Rhinolophus ferrumequinum: one gene and its partners. The protein of the gene in region 2 purifies or fractionates together with the protein of the main gene of each other region. This does not show direct contact. Links are inferred from orthologs where the notes say so. Each region holds a gene or a part of one and is shown on either strand. Other genes may lie near its edges. The genes, in order: PRRC2B, EIF3F and EIF4B.

Region 1 (6,957 bases), on a different chromosome or scaffold from region 2:
ACAGAAGAACCATTCCAGACCTACCAAATCGTGAGAAATAACAAATTGTTGTTGTTTTAAGCCACTAAGTTTTGGAGCTGTTTATTACACAGCACTTGATGACTGATAAAGGAAGCTCGCACATGCCTGTGAGTAAGAAGGAATGACAGTGGTAACCAACATGTGCTGAATGCCTGCTGGTCACCAGCTTGCGCCGACAACAGTGCACACCATCTCATTCAATTCTCACAACAAACCCCTTTCCCGGTTTTCACAGGCTCAGAGAATTATAGTCACTTGTCTAAAGACACACAGTAAATGAAGACAGAGACAGATTCAACTCAAGTCTGTCTGATTCCAAATCCAGCACTCTTAACCACGGATTCGTGCTGGGGGAAGCCTGGTAGAAGGGCACAGACCCCATACCTGCTTCTGGCTTTAGCTTGGACAGGCCTCCCTCAGAAACGTAGGTGAGCTGGCTGGACCTCTGCGTGCACGGGCATGTCTGGACAACATTTGGGCTCAGAGTGGCTGGAGGCATGGCCTTGAAGCCAAACAGAGCCCACGTGAGCGGTCTCCAGGGCTGCCCCCAGGCTCTGTGCCTGAGCCAGGGCTTTACAGGCTTGTTCTGTGTTTGTGTTCACAGTGTCAAGTGATTCCCCCACTTCCCTGTCCTGCAGTGGGACACTGATATGCCAGGGCTTTCTGGCGTCGGGCTGACCAGAGAGGCTCTCCTAAATACAGTAGTAGCACTCAGTATCTGGCCACCAGCAGTGGTGGGTGAAGGTCCTGGAGCCTCAGTTTACTTATCTGTAAAACGGGGGTGATCACAATCCTAACTCACAAAAACATGGTGAAGAGGCTGAGATATACAGAAAGTGGGTGCCCTTAACACGTGTGCATTTTCCTTTCCAGCTCTTCTTTCTTTTTCAGCTCTGTCACCAGCTCCGTGTGAATTTGGGCAAGTCCCTAAGCCTGTCTGTGCTTGAATTTCCTCCTCTGAGAGTGCTCAAAAAGTGGTAACTATTACTGACGGAGGGATGAGAGGCACCCAGCAAAGTCTTAGACTCTCCAGGCAATGGAAGAGTGGAAGCTTTTCTGGCTTCCCTTTGAGGCCAGGACTGGACATGGCACCAGCAGAGGTCAAATTCCTTCTTTGAGTCTCAAGATTCTGTCTCCTTTCATTTTGTTTCCTTCTTTCATCCCATAACCTCTCATCAAACACCTATTATGTGCCACTGAGTGTGTGCTAGGTGCCAGGAATTTAAAAATAAACAATTCAGTGACCCTGTTTGGATGAGCTCCTAGTCTTGTAGGGATACAGACATGTGTAGAAATGACAGTCACCAGCAAGACTAGGACTGTGTGCTGGGGGTTAGAGAAGAAGAAACCCAAGTAAAGGAAAGAGAACACAGAGCATAAGGAGGCAACTTTCCAGATGAGTTTGTAAAAAAGGACCCAAATCTGATGAATCACAGGACTTTGCATATTCCACGTGAAAATAATGCAAAGGACATTTACATCTAGCCATACTATGGTTTAAAAAAGAAAATCATGGCTAAGGAAATACATGACAAGCATTACAAAAAAATATTAAATTTCATTGTATCCAAAGACAATGATCGTGTTTTGAAAAACAATAAAATTATGTTTACATAAAATACGCATTAGGCACGAGGGATGGGCGGAATTCCCCCTCTGGCTCAGTTTGGGAGTCTGAAAAGATTTCTCCACCCATAAGCAGAGTTGCAAGTTTCCTCATACTTAAGAGGAAAAAACTGACAAAAACGAAATAAACTCTTGCTCGTTGGTTCATGCCAACTGTCCCCAGCTTTGTACTGCGTGGTCCTCTCATTCCTTATGTTCTTTCAATATTCCTGCTCTGGATTGCTGCTGTTTCCTTAGTGTAACTTTGACAATATAGAATGTCTCCTTGAATGTCTCCCTTATCTTGCGAGGAGTCTCCTGGGACTACATGACCTCAAGGTCCAGCCTTGGTCCAGCCCTCTTGTTCTGCTGTCTCCTTTCTCCTTTCTCCCTCTGTCCTCTCTGGGTCGTGAGCTCTGGGAGGCTTTGGAGGAGCACCGTCAGAGTCCTGGAGAGACCCCAGTGCCAGCCCTGGCTGACAGCCTGACCACAGACTGTGGCCCCCATACCCACCCCAGCATCTTAGCTGTGCCTTCCCTGAGGAAAGGCTCCAACCTCAAAGGCTGGCACTGCTGGGTTCAAATCCTTGTTCCACACCCAGGTCCTTTGTGACCTTGTCTAAGGTCCCTTAACTTCTGACCTCCATGTCCTTATCCAGAAAGTGGAAACAATAATAACCATCTCCCAAGGATAAAGTTATTTCTTGCAAAGTACTTAGCAACATGCCTGGTCCAGAAAAGGTGCTCAGTAAACAGCACCTATCATTGTTGTCACCGCAGAGAAATGCAGAAAGACAAGGACTTCCTGAATCCCAGACAAAAGCCGTAGGGTTTTTGGGTACAAGTGATGCCTCTGCTGCCATTTCACTTCCAGGGACCTAGCAACCCTTGCTGTCCCCAGAGGGCGTCATTCCCCTTCCAGATCTGCTAGAGGAGCAGAGCATTTGCTGACTTGCCTTTCTACCCCCTTGCTCTTCTCTGTCTTCCAGAGCACTCAAGGGCCATCAAGCTTTTCATCTCACCTTCCCTCTTGTCAAATAATAAAGGGGTAACCTCCGATTCTTAGTGAGTCCCAGAGTTCCTTCCTTCACAGCCAATCAGGTCAAGACCCAGACGCACATTCCTACATTCAAGAAACCAACCAATATTTGTTGAACACCTACTGTGTGCCAGGCGCTGTGCTCAGTGCTAACCTTAACTCGAGTCAGGCTGAAATGGATGGACTTTCCTTCCAGGTTTTGCTGTGTGGCCTTGGGCAAGTCTCCATTTTCTCACCTGTGAATTGTGACGTTAACACCTGTCCCAGGGTTGGGATTAAAGGAGACAAACCACCCCAAGCCATTTCAGAGGGCATGGCCTGCGGCTGGGGCATATGGACAAATGCCAGAGGGACAAGCTGTTTTTTCTAACCGCCAATGTAACTAGAATAAGAAGCCAGAGAATCCTCCTTAGCTCCGCCCCCTCTAGGATCGACCTCAGACCCGCCGACCTCAGACCCGCCACCGCCGCGGAGGTGACCAAGAGTGGAGTACATCCTCCCAGACCTTTTGTTTCGCATTCACACAAATACGCACTCAAGGGGATGCGTTTATTATTTTTCATTTTACAAAAATGGCATAAAGTATCTATATTGTGCAACAACCTTGCTTTTGAATTAACAATGTATCATTTCGGTTTCCTTTCCCTGCATGTACCACACACATATTTGAACAAAATCTCGCTCTGGGTCTATCAGGAGGCGCTGCAGTTCTGAAGGGGGAGGGGGCGGAGATGAGGGCACCCCCCCGCTCCCAGCCCTCCCTCCGTCTGGACCTCACCCGTCCCGGGTCCCCCTCTATCCCAGCCCCCCTTCTTCCGGTCCACCCTCCCCCACCCGCTCGCCCCAACCCCTTCCCGCGGGCCTCCTCCCCTCCCCCTTCTCTCCCGGTTCCCTTCCCGGAGCCCCAGTGCCGAGTCTCCCCAGGCCCAGGCCCCCTCTCCCGGCTCCCTCCGCTGTCTCCCGGCCTCTCGTCCCTCCCCGGGACCCCTCCCCCGGCTCGCCTCCCGGCCCCCTTCTTTCCTTCCCCTCCCCCGTCGTCCGCGCCGGCCCCTCCCCCTCCCCGGGACCCCGGCCCCTCCGGCCGGGGGCGGGCGGGCGGCTGGCGCTCCCGGGAGGCGCGGCAGGGGGCGCTGCGCGGGCGGAGGCGGCTGCGGGCGGCGGCGGCGGCGGCGCGAGGAGGAGGCCGGAGGAGGCGGGGGCGGCGGCAGGCGGGGGGCGGGGAGCGGCGCGCGAGAGGGAGGCGAGCGGCGAGACACAGGCTCCGAGGCTCCAGCGAGCGACGAGCGAGCGACGAGCGAGCCGGCAGGGAGGGAGCGAGCGAGCGAGCAGCCGCGCCGCCGCCTCGCAATCCGCCGCCATCCCGCCGCCTCCGCGCCCGACCGCCGCCCGACCGCCATCGCCCGGCCCAGTCGCGCCCGCGGACCCAGACCAGGTGGGCCCGGGGCGCGGGGCGCGGGCGGCGCGGGCCGGAGGGGCGGCGGGCGCGGCGCTAAGATGGAGGCGGCGCGGCCGGGCTTTGTCTGGGCCGCGCTGGCTGACGGACGGCAGCCCCGGGCGCCGCCGACCTTTGTCCGCGAGCGCGCCCGCCTCGGGCCGCCCCGCGCGGTCGCCGTTGGCCCGCCGGCCGGCCGGGGGCTGCGGGGCCGGGCCCGGGGCGGGCGGCCGGGCCCGCTCGCCATTGTTGTGGCGGCGCCGCGCGGCCTCGGCGCGGGCGGCGGGCGGCGGGTCGGGGCCGCTCCTCACGCCGCCGCCGGGGCCGGGCGGGGGCGCAGCGGCTGGAGGTGCGGAGCGGCCCCGCGGTCCCAGGAGTCACCGTGCCGCCCCCGCGGCCCGGCGGCCCGGGATTATCCCGGACGCTTCTCCCGCACCCCCATCAACCGCACCTGGTCACTTTTCAAACCGCCCCCCGCGGGGTCGGGCGACCCCTGGGCGGGAGGGCCGGCGGCAGCCCGGTCCCCGGGAGGCTGAAGTTGGTCGGGGTGCTGGCCTGGGGGCCGGGGCCGGGGGTAACAGCCGCCGACGCCGTCGCGGTTGCAGTGCGGGAACAAGAGGGTTATTTTGAAAATGCTTAATGCTCTATTGCTGAAAATGTGTAATAATAAACAGGATGTCGCTACTGGGCCCCGCCAGATGGGTTTTTTTCTTTCTCCTTTTTTTCTTTTTCCCCCCTCTCCCTTCTAAGTAAGAAACAGCACTGTTGAGATGGTGGGCCTCTGAGCAGCGGATTTGCCGACGTAACGTTGGAAGGTGTTTTCTTTTCTCCCTCTCCCTGAATATCGTGGGAGGTCCGAGCCCACCTTTAGACAAGAAGAGGGGGTGTATTTCAAGCGGATGGTTAGGTTGAAGGAAGTCGGAGAAGGGGGGCTGGGGACGCTCTCCAGTGTGTCATTTGCTAAATGGCTGCCTGGGAGAAACCTTTAAAAGCCTTTGGTTTATAGGATTGTTAACCGTCCCTGAGATTTTTTTTTTTCCTTTAAGGTTTTATGTGCATTTTATGTGGCTTTACACATGCTCCAGCTCGGTTTTTGTAACCATCCATTTGAAGTCTTAGCGTGGTTTCTCCAAATCCGACTGCAGCCATTCAGCCCTGTCCGTGCACAGTGGTGCGAGGTGGGACAGAGGAGGCCCAGGCCTCCGGCGTCTTCTGAGCCTTCAGTGGCATAAATAGGGACATTGCACTCTCCACCTCCTGGGGCTGGGAAGATGGTGAAGGGCCTAGCAGAGGGCCTGGCACACAGTTGGTGCTCAATAGGTGTCCCTCCTACGGCTGCTTGTATAACTGCCGTCAGGTCCTAGGATGGAAGTTAGCCATTTGTGGTGCCACCCACAGAGCCTAGCCATCCTTCTGATGCCACAGGTGCTGGGCTCTAGCCTGGACAAGGGCGAAAGGATTCAAGACACTGAACAGCAGAACAGGCCCCTTGCTTATTCAGTGCTGGGACTGTGGGAGACAAGTAGGGGACAGCAGCATTTGGAGCCCCCCAGGACTAATAGACCTGGAGTGTGTGATACGAGGTCCCTGGGCTTGGATCCCGGGTGCCTGCCCTTTGGGGTTGTTCCTACACAGAGCTAGAACAGTACAAGAAGCAGAGGCCCAGGGAGTCCTGCCTTTTGAGGATAACTGCTTTCCTTTGGGAAGGGCAGATAATCATTTGGGGAGCCTCTGCTTGTTTGGGCAAGCCTGTCTCTTGGAGCTTGGATTCTGGCCCTCATTGGGTTACCTTATGCAAGGCTCTGAGCCTCAGCTCTTGCATCTGTAAAATGGGAATAATTATGCTTTGTTTTAATTAATCTGTTGGGGCTCTTGGGATCCTCCTGTGCTATTTGTGGCAAAGTGCTTCCACGTGGAGGGGGTGATGAAAATGTACGTTGTTTTTGTTGGTTACCTAGTTTTCTGGTTCCTTGTTCCTTATTCCTGATCTTTTTCTCCAGTTCTCATTGATGGAACTGTGACCTTCCCACCCCAAATTCTATCTCCGGCTCATGTTTTTATGTCACGTCCATTCAACTGCCTGAAAGCGCCAGAATGGCTTAGAAGAGCTACAGTGCTCAGCCAAACCTGGCTGTCAGCTGTTTATAGGAGTCCATAGAAAGGACAGAGGTTAAAGGAGAGATTGACTCCAGTCTTGGCCACCGGTGAGGGATGAGACCTGGTTATCTCTGGGCGAAACCTGTAGCTTGTTTGTAAATGGCCCCGAGACTGCTTGGATTATAGTGCTTCTGCAGTCTGATGCGAAATTTGGTTATTTTGGCATTGCTACAACCATCTTGGTTTTGTTTTGTTCTTTTTTTCAAACCTCCTTGTAAGCTCCTCCAGGCCTCCGGGCTGTGGGACTGAGACATTTTAACAGGGTCATGTCATCCTTTCAGTTTTCCCTGCTTCCTGCCTCCTGGCCCATCCTTTCTACCTGATTTCATTCCCGCCCAGTCTGGCTCTGGGCGGTTTGTTAGCTGGTTGGTTAGGGAAGGAGATGAATCTGCTGCCCCTTTCACCAAGCTATTTGCTTACCTGTGTGTTTTAGTTATCCATGGGCTCCGGAACTGCACGGTGAAGGGGGCCTTGTGTGCCCATTGGGAGGGCCTGCCATCTCCTGCAGCTCCCTGGTCCTCTCCAGTCTCCTTTGAACCCAGATGGGTCAAAGGAAAAGCCTGGGGAAGGAAGAGCCAGAAAACCTTGGGAGAGTGGAATTTCAGGAATGGCGAGTCAGAACTAGTTCCAGCATGGTCGAGTTCCTTGGGCCTGGCTGAGGGTTTCTTTTGGCTATGCCGTTTGGTTCGTCTGTTCACACAACT
Region 2 (7,305 bases):
GCTCCCAGTTCAGTCATGTGCATCAGTGGCACCAGGATTCTCCAGAGAACTAAAGCCCTGGAGTGACCGCCAATGCCTTCCTTTAACCATCACGCGGGGCCTATTCTCCCTTCACAAGGTCTCCTTTCGCCTGTTACTTCCTGCTATCAGTCTACTCCAGACCTTGACACTGTGACCGTCATTTTTCCAGCCTCTACACTCTCTCCTTGTAATTTAGTCTGCAGGGCTACCTGGAAGATTTTAATTATGTCTACATAGACCACTCCTCTAGGAGCCTAGTCAGAGAACCGTTTAGAGAGCGTCACCTGTACCTCCCGTCAGCCATCTGGTTCCATGGTCATAACCATATCATCATCCAGGAACCCTCTACCTGTGAAACTTCATCGATGTGAGTCTTTTACCACAAACTTCTATTCTAGTTCTGGTAACTTTATTCCCACTGCCCACATGTGTTTCTGGACCTAAGACGGCTAGTCCCTTGACTTCTCTACTTTTCTCTAATGTACTGACATCTCCCATCCCAGGCTTCAAGTGCTTCCCTCCTCACCACAGACCACAATGGTGCCTATACCCGTTAGTGTCTAGTTCCACCTTACTATGGTTTCTGCCTCCTTTGCTGAAACTATGTCCTCGAACCCAGTGGATACATAGTCTTTATCTTATTTGACCTCTCAGCAGCATCCGAAAGACTTGACCACTTCAAGCTTCTGAAATAGTTAAGTCTTCTATATTTTCCATGCCACTATGACATCCTTCTATTAGAGCATTTATCCTATTATATTCTAATTACCTGCATACAAGAGTGTATCTTCAGCTTCAATTTAGGGTTAGACTAGAGCTCGTTTGATCAAACTTTGAATTCTAGTACCTAACGATTTTATAGTACATAAAGCACCAGTGACTTCATTTAACCAAATGAAATATTTTTCATGAATTAATGTCTAACTGAGAAAATGTGTAAGTTCCTAGCAAGCAGAATCCATGATTCATTCTTCAGTAAGCACTGCCGCTGTCATACCTGACCCCTGTTTGGAAGAGAATCTGAAGATCTAGATTACAGTTATTCTAACTAGAGTCATTGTACCATTTAGGGCACTTAGCACAAACCTTGGGTGGAGAATTGTTTCTTTAGTTAAATAGCACCAGTGAGTTTGGGAAATTTGACAGTGTAGCTGAAAGAGAGTAAGTATTTGTCGAGTGCCAAGTCAGTGATGCAAAAATCATTTATTACAGAAGCTCAAAGCAGGACAGTCACAGAATGCTACCATACTTTGGGAAGTTAAGAATGAGGGTGAGGGTGAGAGTATGGGACGTAGGACCAATACTGAACACTTTTCCTGGAAGATGAGTGGAACTTGAACGGACAAGTGAGAGCAGGGAAGGCACTTGTGGCAAAGAAAATACAAACGCTTGAGAAAAACCATGGCAATGTTCGGAAAATAATGGATTGATTAAAGTTTCTGCAAAATGCTACTTTCTCAAATAAAAAGAGAATGTGTGTGTGTTTCAGGGGTGGTATAGGCCTGACATGGTGCAGGTTGGCAACCAACAGCCGTTTCGTACCTAATGTGTGCCCACAGTTTCATACCTAATGTGTGCCAGCAGTTAGATGCTTTCTGTAGTAAGTTTTCACAAAGACTAAGTCTAAAGTAGCCCCTGAAGGAAGTAGACTTTAGGTTATTTGTCCCAAGGCACAAGGCATATATTTGATGGAATCTGCCTCAAATTGTGTCCTCTTTGTAATACACCTATTGTTTTCTATGGTAGAAGGACTATTACATGTTCAAGAGTAAGAAAGAGAAATGATGCATACAATTGGAGTGGATGCACAAAGGGGTCTAAAATTTGTGACTTAGATGGAGTGAAAATGAATTTGATGAGACCAGCAGAATCCAGAAAAAGGGATAAATTACCAGTAATTCCTCTTTAGTGCGTCTTGGATTTACAAATTACTTTTAACATAAAATATCTATTTCCCCAAATTTGGGACATGGGTAGGGAAAGGTTATTCTTTGATTTGAAGGTTAAGCAGTATCATAAACATAATACAATTGTTTGTATCCAAATGGAGAATCAGAGACAGCTCTGGGGGAACAGCATCTACGAATTAGGGAGAGGAAGGGACAGGGGTTCAGGCTTACACACTTAGTTAATCAGATTATTACTGAAATTCTAAATGGGTTCCTGCCAAATCGGTTTACTTGCTGAGAGGGATATCTCTTAACAGATGCTCCCTTTGCCAACTGGTTAGAAACTTCTTTGCAAACACCTAGAAAATAAAGACATTTAGTAGATAAGCGGGAAAAAACGTGGTCACTGGGGAGTCAAGGGTTTTTGCCTTACTTAGCATTGGAACTCACTTTTGGTAGACTGGGGCTGATCATACTTGACGTGAAATGCTACTGGGAAGATTAAAATGTAAATGGCTCGGTACACGATATTTACTTAATACAGAACTACTCTTCATATACATTATGTTGCACAAAGTGACAGCAATCAGGCAAGAAAGTTCAAGTTCTTTGGGAAGATGAGTCCCAACAGGACGGTCCAATGGAGAAACAGGTAAGAGATCAACGCGGATGTGAAGAAAGGGGAGTCAGATAAAGGAGAGGTGGGAGGTAGAAGAAAACGTCAATTTTCTCTGACCACTTACTCACCCAGCAGGGTCCCGATAACTCGGGCAGCACCCTCGTTGCGTCGCTCGTAGCTGTCCACGATAGAGGCCAAAATGACAGGGTGCAGTCGGACCACACGGCCGCCGGGGAAGGGGCCGGGTAGAGCAGGACTAGCCAGCGACTGCGCCGGGGTCTGCGCTGCTGCTGGCAGTGAAGCCTGGGTCTGGCCCGGGGCCGCGGTCGCAGCCGCTGCTGCCGCCGGGTCTGGGGATGAGGATGGAGCTGGAGTTGGAGCTGGAACCGGCACTGGAGCCGGCGCCGGCGCTGGAGCTGAGGCTGGGGCCGGGGCTGGGGCTGAGGCTGGGGCAGCAGCCATGGCTGGGGTCGGAGTGGTGGGAGCAGCACTCGCCGGTACCGCCGGTGTGGCCATCTTGTCCAGAGAGAAGGAGCCTGGAGCGGAAAAGAGTAAGCTTGGAAACATTAGGAGCACCATAGGCTGAATATGCACCACGTGAACAAGGTCTTTGTGCCTATTGGTTACTGATGATGCTTCTCACGGCACTACAATTTCCGGCTCCGAGTTTGTGCTCTTCGATCTAGGTCGACGCGCATTCAGTGAGACCGAGCTAAATAGTTCCGAAGAAACTTGGGACCGCACTGGGAGAAGAGAAGCAGCTCCGTCTGCATAGTTGTCGCCAGATGGAGCCAGAACGCTGCACAAGTGTCGCAAATCGTGTTTTCAGACTTCAATGGGATAATGGCTGTCACGGTGCCTTATTATAAAGGGCTTTGTCCTTGACAGGGTCCTAAGGTGGTTTATTCATTAAATAAAATATGTGCCAGAGGCTTTTTAAAGGAATATATTAGTAAACAAAACAAAAATCGTTGTCCTTGAAAAGTTTACATTGTAGCGGGGAGAGACAAATAAGTACATTATATATGTTAGAAGGTAGGAAGTTCTAAGAAAAAGGAAAAAGTAGCGGAGAGTAATGGGTAATGAGGAGTTGTGAGGAATTAGGGTGGATCACAATGACAGTGTGAGATTTGAGTGTACTTGAAAAAGGCGAATGAGGTGGCCATTATGAAGTGTGAGGGGAAAAGAGCTTCCAGGTAGAGGGAACAGCTAGTGCAAAGCCCTGAAGGCAGGAGTAGGCCTGTTGTGTTTGAAGAGGCTATTTGGCAGCTGGAGAGTTAAGATCGGCCTGGAGCAGCAGGAGATGGACCCCTAAACAGGGATTAGAGATCATTAAAGACCTCCTAGGGCACAGTATGGGTAAGGACTTTCATTTTTAGTTTGAAAGAAATGGGGAACCATTGCCAAGTTTTGAGCAGGGGAGGGTCATGATTTGTCTTAGTTTTAAAAGGATCACTATAGCTGCTTTGAGAAAAATACAATAGGGGGCTCGGTTACTGGGGAGAGGCAGACGAGAAAGAGCAGAGGGACATGGTATGAGATTACCAAATCTAAGAGAGATGACGGTGGTTGGCACCAAACCAGTAGCAGTGCAAGTGGTGAGAAGTGGGCAGATTACAGGTATATATATATTTTTTTTTTTTGTAAGGAGGGCGCAGCTCACAGTGGCCCATGTGGGGATTGAACCGGCAACCTTGGTGCTAGTACCAACACCGCTCCAACCAACTGAGCTAATCGGCCACCCCCTACAGGTATATTTTAAAGGTAGAGACAACAGGATTTTCTGAGAAATTGTATGCGAGGTGTGAAAGAGAAAGTCAAGGATGACTCCAATTTTTTGTGCTGAGCAACTAGTATGAAGAAGTTGTCAATAATCGAGACAGTGAAAGCTACAAGTGCAGCAAGTTTTTGGGAAAAGATCCCAAGTTCATTTTTTTCTTAAACTTTTGTTTTATTAGTTTCAGGTGCACAAAACAATGTAATAGACATTTATCATTTATATCCCTCACACAGTGTCAACCCCTATCGCCCCACCCACTACCCCTCTGACATCGTACACAGCCATTACATTTCCACTGTCTCTATTCCTAATGCGGTACTCCACTTCTTGTAACTATATATATGTATACACACACACACACACACACACACACACACACACACACACACACACACATATATAAAATTGTAGTTGACATTATTGTTCCGCTTCAGGTGTATAGTGCAGTGATCAGGCATCTATATCATCCCTGAGGTGTAACGAGACAAGTATCCATCAGATACCCTACAAAATCTTTACATTATTGATTACATTCCCCAAATTGACTTTCGTATCCCTGTGGCCATCTTGTGGTTACCGACTGTGCTCTCTAATCCCCTCACCTTCCGCTTTATCCCTACCTTCCCTCCCATCTAGCAACCCTCAGTTTTTCCTCTATGCCAAGTTCATTTTTGGATGTATCACCATTGAGATGTATTATTATTATTATTATTATTATTATTATTATTATTATTATTATTATTTGGTAGCTATTATTGTTGCTATGTGATGGAAGGAACTCTGATCCTAACTTACAGTGTAACTCTGGGCAATCTATAATTTTTTCTGAGTCTCCGTTTCCTGTTTGGTCTAACGGGGTTGATAATAGCTGCCTGTCAGGAAACCTATCAACTCCCTTAATTAGGTTAAGTCCCAGCGTCCAGCTGTCAAGGTGGATGGGGGATTTTGGGCTTCTTAGCCCCAACTCTTATGCCCAAGAACTGCTTTCTCCTTGGAGCTACCTTCTATAATTAAAATTCACGTAATCCTACTCCCGTCAGTGCTCTGGGTAAACATACATATTCTTAGTTCCCTCAAACACAGGTGAACAGCTTATCAGAGGAGGATTGAAAAATGACTCTTGGATTTGATGACCTCGATTTTTAGCAACCCTAGTAGAGCACTGTCAGTGAAACTGAAGGTGGGGTGCGCTTGGAAACTGGAATTCAGGTGTGAGAGAATGGTCAATTTGAATTGATGGCAGTAAGTGCTGGCTACTCTCTCAAGGAAGTTGCTGGGAAGGAAAAGAGACATTTAAGGCAGTAGCTGTGGAAAGGGGGACAGTTTAGGCTGGAAGAGTTTTAAGTATATTTTAAACGAAGAGTAAGAATCTCAAGAAGGGAGAAAGATTGAATATACAAGTGTGAGCAAGGGAAGCTATCTAATGAAACAAAGCAGGAAGTGGGACCCAAATGGAGAAGCCTAGATGAGAGAAATGGTCTTGGGCAGGACGAGGGATATGTTGGAGAGAGACTCCGGGATATGGCCTCCTTTATGGGTGCCATATGGGGGTCTGCCGTAGCCCAGGGTGGTGCCGAGATCATTCCATGGGGAGAAATTCAGAGGAGAGCACCATCCCCAATGAAGAGGTGTTGCTGTCTCGACCTGACCACGCACAACCTTGGTACTTCCCATTCGTATGTTGATTTGAGTTGGGTGTGGACTCTTCACCACCCTGAACTTTGCCTTTGTATCGATGGTCTAAAGACCTTTCTCTCTGGTAGGAAAGGAAAAAAACGATGGATGAAGAATCGGAGACACTTTGAATTGGAAAGAGAAGGGAGTTGCAGGAGCTCTTGTCAAATGATGTTTATTTTTTCTCAGGGAAGCGGAGGCAAAGTGATCTGCTGAGAATGGCAATGGATAGATAGATCGGGTTCAGCCTTGGAGCAAAGGGCAGTATTTGGAAGAAGGGCCGAGAGTGAGCCATCAAAGGCATTGAACAATTATGGGAGGGCCCAGCTGAGCCTGGAGACCTCAAGGATCTGGTCAGCTTTTGTATTTTCCTCCAGCCACATAGCTCAGGGGCAGAAGGAGGGTGATCATTGGCATTGTCTTCCTGGGGATGCTGATTGGCCAGGACAAGGGAATGCATACTCGTACATCCAGGATGCTGAGGGATCCAGGCAGGCAGAACCCTATTTATGGAGTGCATAAATGTGTGTGTGTGTTTGAGGTGTGTGTGTGTGTGTGTGTGTGTGTGTGTGTGTGTGAGAGAGAGAGAGAGAGAGAGAGAGAGAGAGAGAGAGAGAGAGAGACACAGAGAGAGAGACCCATACCCATCAGCTAGCTTCATCTGTCTGTCTGTTTCTCTCTCTGACTGTTTTGTCCGCTCATTTCTCTCTTGTGCCTCTTTGTATATCTTAGCTGACAGTTTCCATCCTTGGTCTCTGTTTCTTTTGTCTCCACCTCTTCCCTTTTTGGGACTGTTATACCAGTTGTCAGTTCTGCCCACAGCCAGACCAGGGTTAACAGGGAGGGAGGCTTCATTTCATTTCCTGCCTCTAGCCTCCAATTAAAATTGGTTATTTTGCATATCATTTCTACTTCCTTTAGGTGTGACTCTCAGTCCCTGGCCCTGCGATCTCCAGACTGGGAGGCTTCTAGGGGAGGCAGACCTGAGAGTCTTCACAGTAAGTGGCTTTACTCGTTTCTTCTGTCACATGGTCTATGTGGCTGTGTCTCACTCCATTTTCCCATCTTGGTCCCTTGGGCTTGGTTCTTTGCTGTCTTGCTTCTGTCTCTAGCCATAGTTTGGTTAAGGCTCTGGGACAGACCAATCCCATTCCTGCCTGTTTTCCTGGACTCTGGGAGAACCTGCTGAGCAACGGGCACTGGAGCCCTGGAGTGGGAGGAGAGGTACCTGGGAGACAGCCACCTCACAGCCTGCCTAAGCCAGTCCTCCACCCTTAAGGGATGCTCTTTCTCATCCTTTGTGCAGAATATAGGGACCGCCA
Region 3 (7,953 bases), on a different chromosome or scaffold from region 2:
AGGGAGCCAGCAGGTGGTAGTAGGTCTCAAGGTGTCCTGGCTTTTTGTAGAGCTACCTCAGGCCCAGCATTGGTGGCAGCCATCCTCAGTTTACAGCATGGCCTCTCTCATGCGCCTCCAGGTTTAGCACAGACAGCGAGCAACCACTCCAAAGTGGCAGGACCACTTTGTAGCTCCTACAGCTAGTCCCCAGCTGGTCACAGGCAGTGGGTGACCTAGGCCTGCACCAGAGCCCCTTGCAAGGGGCCCCAGAACCAACATACTTGGAGGTTGGCTTCAGACCATAGCAAAGCACCACCCAATTAGCACCACAAATGGCACACCCAAAGGGTGGTCTCAACAGGCCAGAGCCCACTAGGATGAACCCATTCAGTGGAGTAAGCACTGCACAGCAGCCTATAAGCTGTGGACATGGCCAAACCCCACAGCCAATCAGCCTGAGGGTCAATCCCATCCAGTAATATGCCAATAGCAATCAAGGTTCAACTACAGCAGGAGGGCACACACAAACCACACAAGGGACACTCCTGAAGCACCCAGAGCAGGTGACCAAGGAGACTGTGGCAGGGCCCCACAGGGCACCTCCTGCATAAGGCCACCAGCCAAGAGACATAGGAGACATAGCAGATATACCTAATACATAGAAACAAACACAGAGAGGTAGCCAAAATAAGGAAACAAAGAAATTGTGTCCCAAATGAAAGAACAGGAGAAAACTCCAGGAAAAGAACTAAACAAAATGGAGGCAAGCATCCTACCAAAAATACAGTTCAAAACAATAGTTATAAGGATGCTCAAGGAACTTAGAACTTCAAAAAAAGAGACAGCAAGCATAAAAAAGGACATAGAAACCATAAAAAAGAACAAGTCAGAAGTGAACAATCCAAAACTGAAATGAAGAATGCACTAGAAAGAATCATCAGCAAACTAGATGAAGCAGAGGATCAAATCAATGATTTGGAAGACAGACAAGGTAGCAGAAAACACCAAGTCAGAGCAGCAAAAAGAAAAAAGAATTTTAAAAATGAGCATAGCTTAAGAGACCTCTGGGACAACATCAAGCATAACAACATTCACATCATAGGAGTACCAGGAGAAGAGAGAAAGCAAGGGATTGAGAGCATGTTTGAAAAAATAATGACTGAAAACTGTCCTAACCTGGCAAAGGAAATAGACATACAAGCCCAGGAAGCACAGAGTCCAAAACAAAATGAACGCAAACAGGCCCACGCGAACACACATAATAATTAAAATGGCAAAGGTTAAACATAAAGAGATAATCCTAAAAGCAGCAAGAGAAAGGCAACTAGTAACTTATAAGGGAGCTCCCATAAGATTGTCAGCTGATTTCTCAACAGAAACTTTGAAGGCCAGAAAGAATTGGCACAAAATATTCAATGTGATGAAAAGCAAGGACCTACAACCAAAGTACTGTACCCAGCAAGGCCGTCATTTAGAATCGAATGACAGATATTAAAGGACAGATAATAAAAAGGATCCCAGATAAGAAAAAGCTAAAGGAGTTCATCATCACCAAACCAGTATTAAAAGGAGTGTTAAAGGGACTTCTTTAAGACGGAGGGGAAAAAGATCAAAATTATGAATAATAAAATGTCAATAACTATATATCTATCAACAATTACTTTCAATGGAAATGGATTAAATGCTCCAATCAAAATACATAAGAGTGCTGAATTGATAAGAAAACAAAACCCTTTCATATGCTGCCTATAAGAGAATCACTTCAGATTGAAAGACACACACCGATGGAAGGCAAAAGGATGGAAAAAGATATTTCGTGAAAATGGAAACAGACAGAAAACAACAACAAAAAGCTGGGGTAGCAATACTTATACCAGAAAAAAAAATAGACTTTAAGACAAAGGCTGTAACAAGACAAAGAAGGACCCAATAATCCCACTTCTGAGTATTTATCTGAAGAAACCCAAAACACTACTTCAAGGTACCTGTGCATCCATATGTTCATTACAGCATTGTTTACAATGGCCATGATGCGGAGGTAACCTGGGTGTCTGCCAATGGAAGAATGGATAAAGAAGAGGTGGTACATATACAGAGGGTGCCAAAGAAATGTATACACATTTTAAGAAAGGAAAAAACTGTATTAACATTGTAATACTCAATATATACTGATAACAAAAATGAATACAAGTCATGTGTATACATATTTTTGGCACCACCGGTATACAATGAAATATTGCTTGGCCATGGAAGGGAATAGATTCTTGCAATTTGCCAGTGGCATGGATGGACCTGGAGGGTATTGTGATGAGTGGAGTGTTAGACAGAGAAAGATAGATGCAACGAGATTTCACTTATGTGTGAAATCTAAAGAACAAAGTAAACAAATAAAACAGAAATAAACTCCTAGATACAGAGAACATTTTGATGGTTGCCAGAGGAGAGGGAATTGGAGATGTGAGTGAAAAGGGGGAAGGAATTAAGAAGTACAAATTGGTTGTTACAAAGTCATGGGGATGTAGGGTATAGCATAAGGAATATAGTCAATAATATTGCAATAACTATGTATAGTGTCGGATGGGTACCGGATTTGTTGGGGTGATAGATGGGAGGAGGTCTGGGGGCAGGATGAAAAAAGTGAAGGGATTAAGAGGTACAAATTGGCAGTTACAAAATAGTCATGGGGATGTAAAGTAAAGCATAGGGAATATAGTCAATAATATGGTAATAACTATGTATAGTGCCCGGTGGGTACTAGACTAGTCAGGGGGATCACTTCTTAAATTATATAAATGTCTAACCACTATTCTGTACACCTGAAATTAATATAAAATAATACTGAATGTCAACTGTAATTGAAAAAATTTTTGAAAAGGGGAACGGAAACAAGAGGTCCAGATTTCCAGGTATAAAACAAGTCATAGAGATGTAATATACAGCATAGGGAATATAGTCAATAATATTGTGATAGCATTGTATAGTGTCAGATGGTTGCTGGATTTATCATAGTAATCACTTCTTTAGGTATATAAATGTTGAATGACTATGATGTACCCTTGAAATAATATAATATTGTATGTTAGCTATATTTTTAATAAAAATCTTTTTAAAAACATTTTAATTTCCCTTAAAATTGTAAGTAAAACAAATATTCGAGTCAAAGAATATGTTTTAGTGTATAATATTAATATATTTGTCTTTAAACCAACATAATCATAAAATATAATTTTTAATATTGTTTTTAAGTAGAAAGGTGTCTGTGAAGGAAAAAGTGCCTAGAGTCCATGAAAAGTTATAATGGTGTCCTGTCATCAACAATCTTTTGCCTAGTCTTTCCCTTCCATTACTGCATCTGTATAATCCACTCTCCATTCAGTAGCCCTGAGTATTCTTCCTGTGGGTGTTTTGTGTTTTTTTTTTTTACATTTAAGTATAACTTCTGTAAGTGCATAACTCTTAAGTGTACTATGCGATGAATTTTTACATAAATATACACTCATGTAACCACCACCCACATCAAGATACTGATCTTTTTCAAAATTTTATTTCAAGTCATGACATTCTCTTGTATAAAATCCCTCCATGCTTTCCCAGCCCACTTGGAATAAAATCCAAACTCCTAAACCTGGTTTACAAAGCCTCACATTATCCAACCCATACATATATCTGGAACTTCATCTTGTACTACTCTCCCCACTCCCTTAACATACTCCACTGCCTTTAAACTCCTCAATTTGCGGAGCAGCTGGTCGGCGTAGTGGTTGGAGCGCGGTGTTCATGGCACCAAGGTCACCAGTTCGATTCCCACATGGGCCAGTGAGCTGCGCCCTCCACAACTAAACTGAAGAAACAACAATTTGACATGGAGCTGATGGGTCCTGGAAAAACACACGGTTCCCCAATAATCCCCAATAAAAAGCTTTAAAAAATTTTTTTTTAAATTCCTTAAGTTGCCAAGATGTTCCTACCTTGGAGGTTTTGATCTAGCTATGCACCCTCAGCTTTCACCTAAAACTCTTCCTAAAGTTGTTCACAGGGTGGGCTATTTGTAATTCAGATCTATTTAAATGTCACTTCCTCAGAGGCCTTCCCCAATTAGGCAATCTAGAATTACACCCAATCATCTTTTATCAAATCACCTTAATTACCTAGAGTGCTTATCGTTTATAGTATTTTTTCCTTCACTGCTTATTGTCTGCCTTTCCCTCACCGAACTATAACTTCCTTTGGGGCAATTTCGTTCTCTTGTACTCAACAAAGCCAGTAATAGTGCCTGACACATGGTAGATGCCCAATAAAATTTTTCATTGAATGAAATTCTAATATATGATAAAATGTAGCATTAGCTAGAGAAATCATAGGTAGCACTCCTTTCTGAAATTATAGGGCCTGAGTTTGATTTAAACCAGCCAGTAAAATGGAGGATTAAAAGAAGTAAAAAAGAAGTAAAAACCGATGGCAATGAAGTGTTCTGTATTTGTTACTTTTTTATTCCTTCTAAATATGCCCAATAAAAACCATCCTTACCCAGGATAGTGGGCTTGTTTTGCTTCAACAAAAAGTGATATAAAAAGAAATTCGGAATCTTCGCTTTCATAAAATCAATTGAAGCACACCGATTCCAGGTTCCAGACCGCCTCCATTCGGTCCAGAGAACTGTCCTAGCCAGCGGGGCCCCTCCCCTTCCGTTTACCCCCACCGGCCGGAAGTCAGCGAAGGAGACCCCGCCCCGTACTCAGACCCTGCCCCGGGTTCGCGCGTAGCCCTACGTAAAGCAGTACAGGTTTCGCGACAGCCCAGGCCCCACCCCTTTGGCCACATGTCGCGCAGGTCTTCCGGTCGGACGCCGCGCCACCTCCTCGCGCTGCTTTACGAACCTAGAGCAGCACCGCCCCGCCTCTCTGTTCTTCCTCTTCACCTCCCCGCCCCCTCCCAGTTTTGCGTCTCCTAGTCCGACGCGCCCGCTATAATCACGTGATTGCCTCATCCGGGTCCTTTGCGTTCTCTCTCCCTCTCCCAACATGGCGGCCTCAGGTGAGTGAGCGGCTGAGCTCGGCCAAGGACCGGGCTCCCAAGCCACTCTCCGAGCCTGCTCCACTGATCCCCTGGAGTCGGGGAGTGGGCGGCACCACTTCCCTTTGGATCTGGGAGCTGCGGCAGGCTGGCGGCTTGGCCGTGTTAGGTTTTCGCCTCGGGATGTTTGGGGGGGAGGGGAAGGACACCCTCCCCCTCGCACTCTTTTCACCCCGTCTGCGCGAGGTTGGAGCGGGGAGTAATGATGGACTCTGGCTTGAGTTGGAATGAGGAGGAGGCGCAGAAAGATCTACAGGGGGCGTGAGGCCTTCTCATAGATGTGAAGCACTGTGCCCGCGTGGAGGAAGGAAGGAGGCGGTTGGCGCGCGGACGGGTGCACACTAGACTAGGTCCCCGAGGCGCGAGGCCGTTGCGGACAGGAGTGGGGGCAGGGGAAAAAAGGGGGGGCAGTTACAACACGATCGCGAGTCGGTGGAGGGGCGGAGGAAGGCAGCGGTGCGCGTGCGCGCTAGGCGAACCGAGGGTAGTGGAGACGGGCGCGCCTTAAAAGCACGCGCGAGAGCGCAGATGGCAAGATTTTACGCGTCTCTGTTGGTTTCTTTTATATCCTTTCACTTTCTATTCTTCATCTTTTAGAATGGGCCCGGCCCCTGTATTCTCCCAAGGGATATATGTGTTAGGTTTGGGGGTTGAAGCTACTAGAGTTAAGTGGGGGTAGGGAACACATTGGTGCGCCCACGTGTTGGGGAGGAAGCAAGGCTAGACAGATTTCTTCTAGGCTTTTTTTCCTTAATTCAATCAACACATTTTTACTGAGCGCAAACTATGCCAGGCGCGGTTCTAAGTGTTGGAGATACAATGGTGAACAAGCCCCGATTCCTTGACAGCTTCCATTTTGATGGAATTTTTATAGCTCCAGTGGTGGTGTTCAGCCCTTTTTTTCTTTTTAAGATAATTGAACGACGGTTAGGAGGTGGTTTTAAAATAATGCTAGTGGCTGGAGTTGGTTCCTGATTTAGACCTCTTAGGGATAGGGAATATCACTCATAAAAGTCCACTTGCATTTCTGATGCACTTAGCAGTGAGCTATGTAACATTTTGTAGTATTAATTTTAGTTTGGGGGATTTATAGTCGACACTCCTTATCAGCGGATTGAACCATGGGGATAGAAAATATTGGGGGGAATGTTAAGTTGTTCCTGATGTGTGCTGTGTAGTTAGCCTATGATAGTAGTCTGTAGTGAACATGGGTAGACTTGTCATTATTCCCTAAATACAGTATATAAGAACTATTTACATAGCATTTACATTGTATTAGGTATAAGTAATATTGAGATGATTTAAAGTATATGGGAGGATTGTGTGGGGTGTGTGCAAATACTATGTCATTTTATTAATATATAAAGGACTTGAGTATCTGAGGATTTTAATATTCAGGGAAGTCCTGGAACCAATCCCCCTACGGGTTTGGCAGATCAACTAATTTCTTTTCCCTGGCATGACCCTGCATTCTATGAAACATTTATCGAACCCTTGCTATCTCTGCACATTCACTTCCCACCAAGAATTATCTTCTCTGTTATTACATAGGATACTAAGGATTATGTATGTCTTTGGAAAACGAGGGAATTGAGGTGTATTTTAACATAATACCTTTCATTGGTGTAGCACTGGACAATTGACCAAGCACTTTTGTGTCTATTGTCTCATTTGATGCTTTGTGAGATAAATGTAGGCAGGTAATATCTACCAGATGAGGAAGATGAAATTATTTGTTCAAGGTCACACTGTATGCACATGGCAGAGCAAGGTCAAAGTCTTTGAGACTCCTGACTCTTCATTATCAACTTGGAAATAACAAGGTTGGCTTCCATATCATAAGTTTGGGGTGCTGCCCTAAAGCTTCATCTGAAGCTTATTTGGCCTGGATTTACCATCTTAATGGCTTAGTGTCATAATTTAGTGAAAAGCCTATACTCCCCTTTCTCCATAACTTTTGTGGAATTTTTAGAAGTGGAAGAAACGTTAGCAATCCGCCTTAGTTTTACAGAGTTGCGTGAAATCCAGACTGGTTAAAGGGATTTACTTAGTGATGTCTCCTCCTGTTCTTCCATATTTACCCACTTGGAAACCCTCATCTCCTTAATCCCATAAATCTTTAGATTGTGTAGTATGTATAAGGGACACTATGCTAGTGTCTGAGCACAAGGTTACATCTGACAGTCTGTCCTTGAGGAATCTGGGATTAGCAAAATTCTTTCCTCACCTGGAATCTTTTCCAATCAATTGCATTGACTTTGATAAGTGACCCGTATTCCCATATATTGGGCACTCAACCAATATGGCTGTACTAAAACTATAAAACTTTCAGTGTGTGTTTTCAGTATACTTTTTAATGTCAAATTTGTTAGATACAGGTTAATAATTTTTGAGACTAAAATGCTTTGAAATTGGAAATCGTGAATGGATGCCTATAGAAGTTCTTTCGTTTGTATAACACTTCAAAAATGCCATTATATATAGGATCTTGTTTCATTGATTTTTTTATGGAGAGGATGGTGTCCAATGGTAGTTTTCATGCATGCTGACCCTTATAGTTAAAAGTAGTTTCATTGGTTGCCATTTATGCCGTTTACATATTAACCTATTTTCAAATCCCATCCTTTACCATATGTTATTCTGGGAGTAAGATAACCAGAATCAGAATGCCAAGACTAAAACTCCCGAATACAGGGAGTAGTGTCAAAGGAAAAGAATATTTCTAAGTAAAGTCATTTAAGTATATACTTTTAAACAGCTTTGAGATATAATTCACGTACCATATATGTATATCTGAAAACATCCTAGAATTCTCTTTTCATGATGGGGGAAAGAATTAACTTCAGGGGGACTTTTTAAAAAACCAAGTGCTTACTTGTAATTAAGTATGTATGTGTA

What was found.
Region 1: the proteins of EIF3F (region 2) and PRRC2B purify together in Homo sapiens (affinity purification with mass spectrometry; 3 studies listed by BioGRID and IntAct, counting the BioPlex papers as one, with this or other methods). This does not show direct contact. The link is inferred for Rhinolophus ferrumequinum from reciprocal best matches to the Homo sapiens genes EIF3F and PRRC2B.
Region 3: the proteins of EIF3F (region 2) and EIF4B purify together in Homo sapiens (affinity purification with mass spectrometry; 3 studies listed by BioGRID). This does not show direct contact. The link is inferred for Rhinolophus ferrumequinum from reciprocal best matches to the Homo sapiens genes EIF3F and EIF4B.

What each region holds. Positions count from the first base shown.
Region 1 is NC_046295.1:79,364,564-79,371,520, forward strand, and holds the start of PRRC2B (protein PRRC2B), read left to right. Parts: upstream 1-3,944; 5' UTR 3,945-4,096; intron 4,097-6,957.
Region 2 is NC_046294.1:43,958,021-43,965,325, forward strand, and holds the start of EIF3F (eukaryotic translation initiation factor 3 subunit F), read right to left. Parts: upstream 3,066-7,305; 5' UTR 3,046-3,065; coding exon 2,658-3,045; intron 1-2,657. UniProt on the Homo sapiens protein: Component of the eukaryotic translation initiation factor 3 (eIF-3) complex, which is required for several steps in the initiation of protein synthesis.
Region 3 is NC_046293.1:52,974,788-52,982,740, forward strand, and holds the start of EIF4B (eukaryotic translation initiation factor 4B), read left to right. Parts: upstream 1-4,870; 5' UTR 4,871-5,003; coding exon 5,004-5,016; intron 5,017-7,953. UniProt on the Homo sapiens protein: Required for the binding of mRNA to ribosomes. Functions in close association with EIF4-F and EIF4-A. Binds near the 5'-terminal cap of mRNA in presence of EIF-4F and ATP.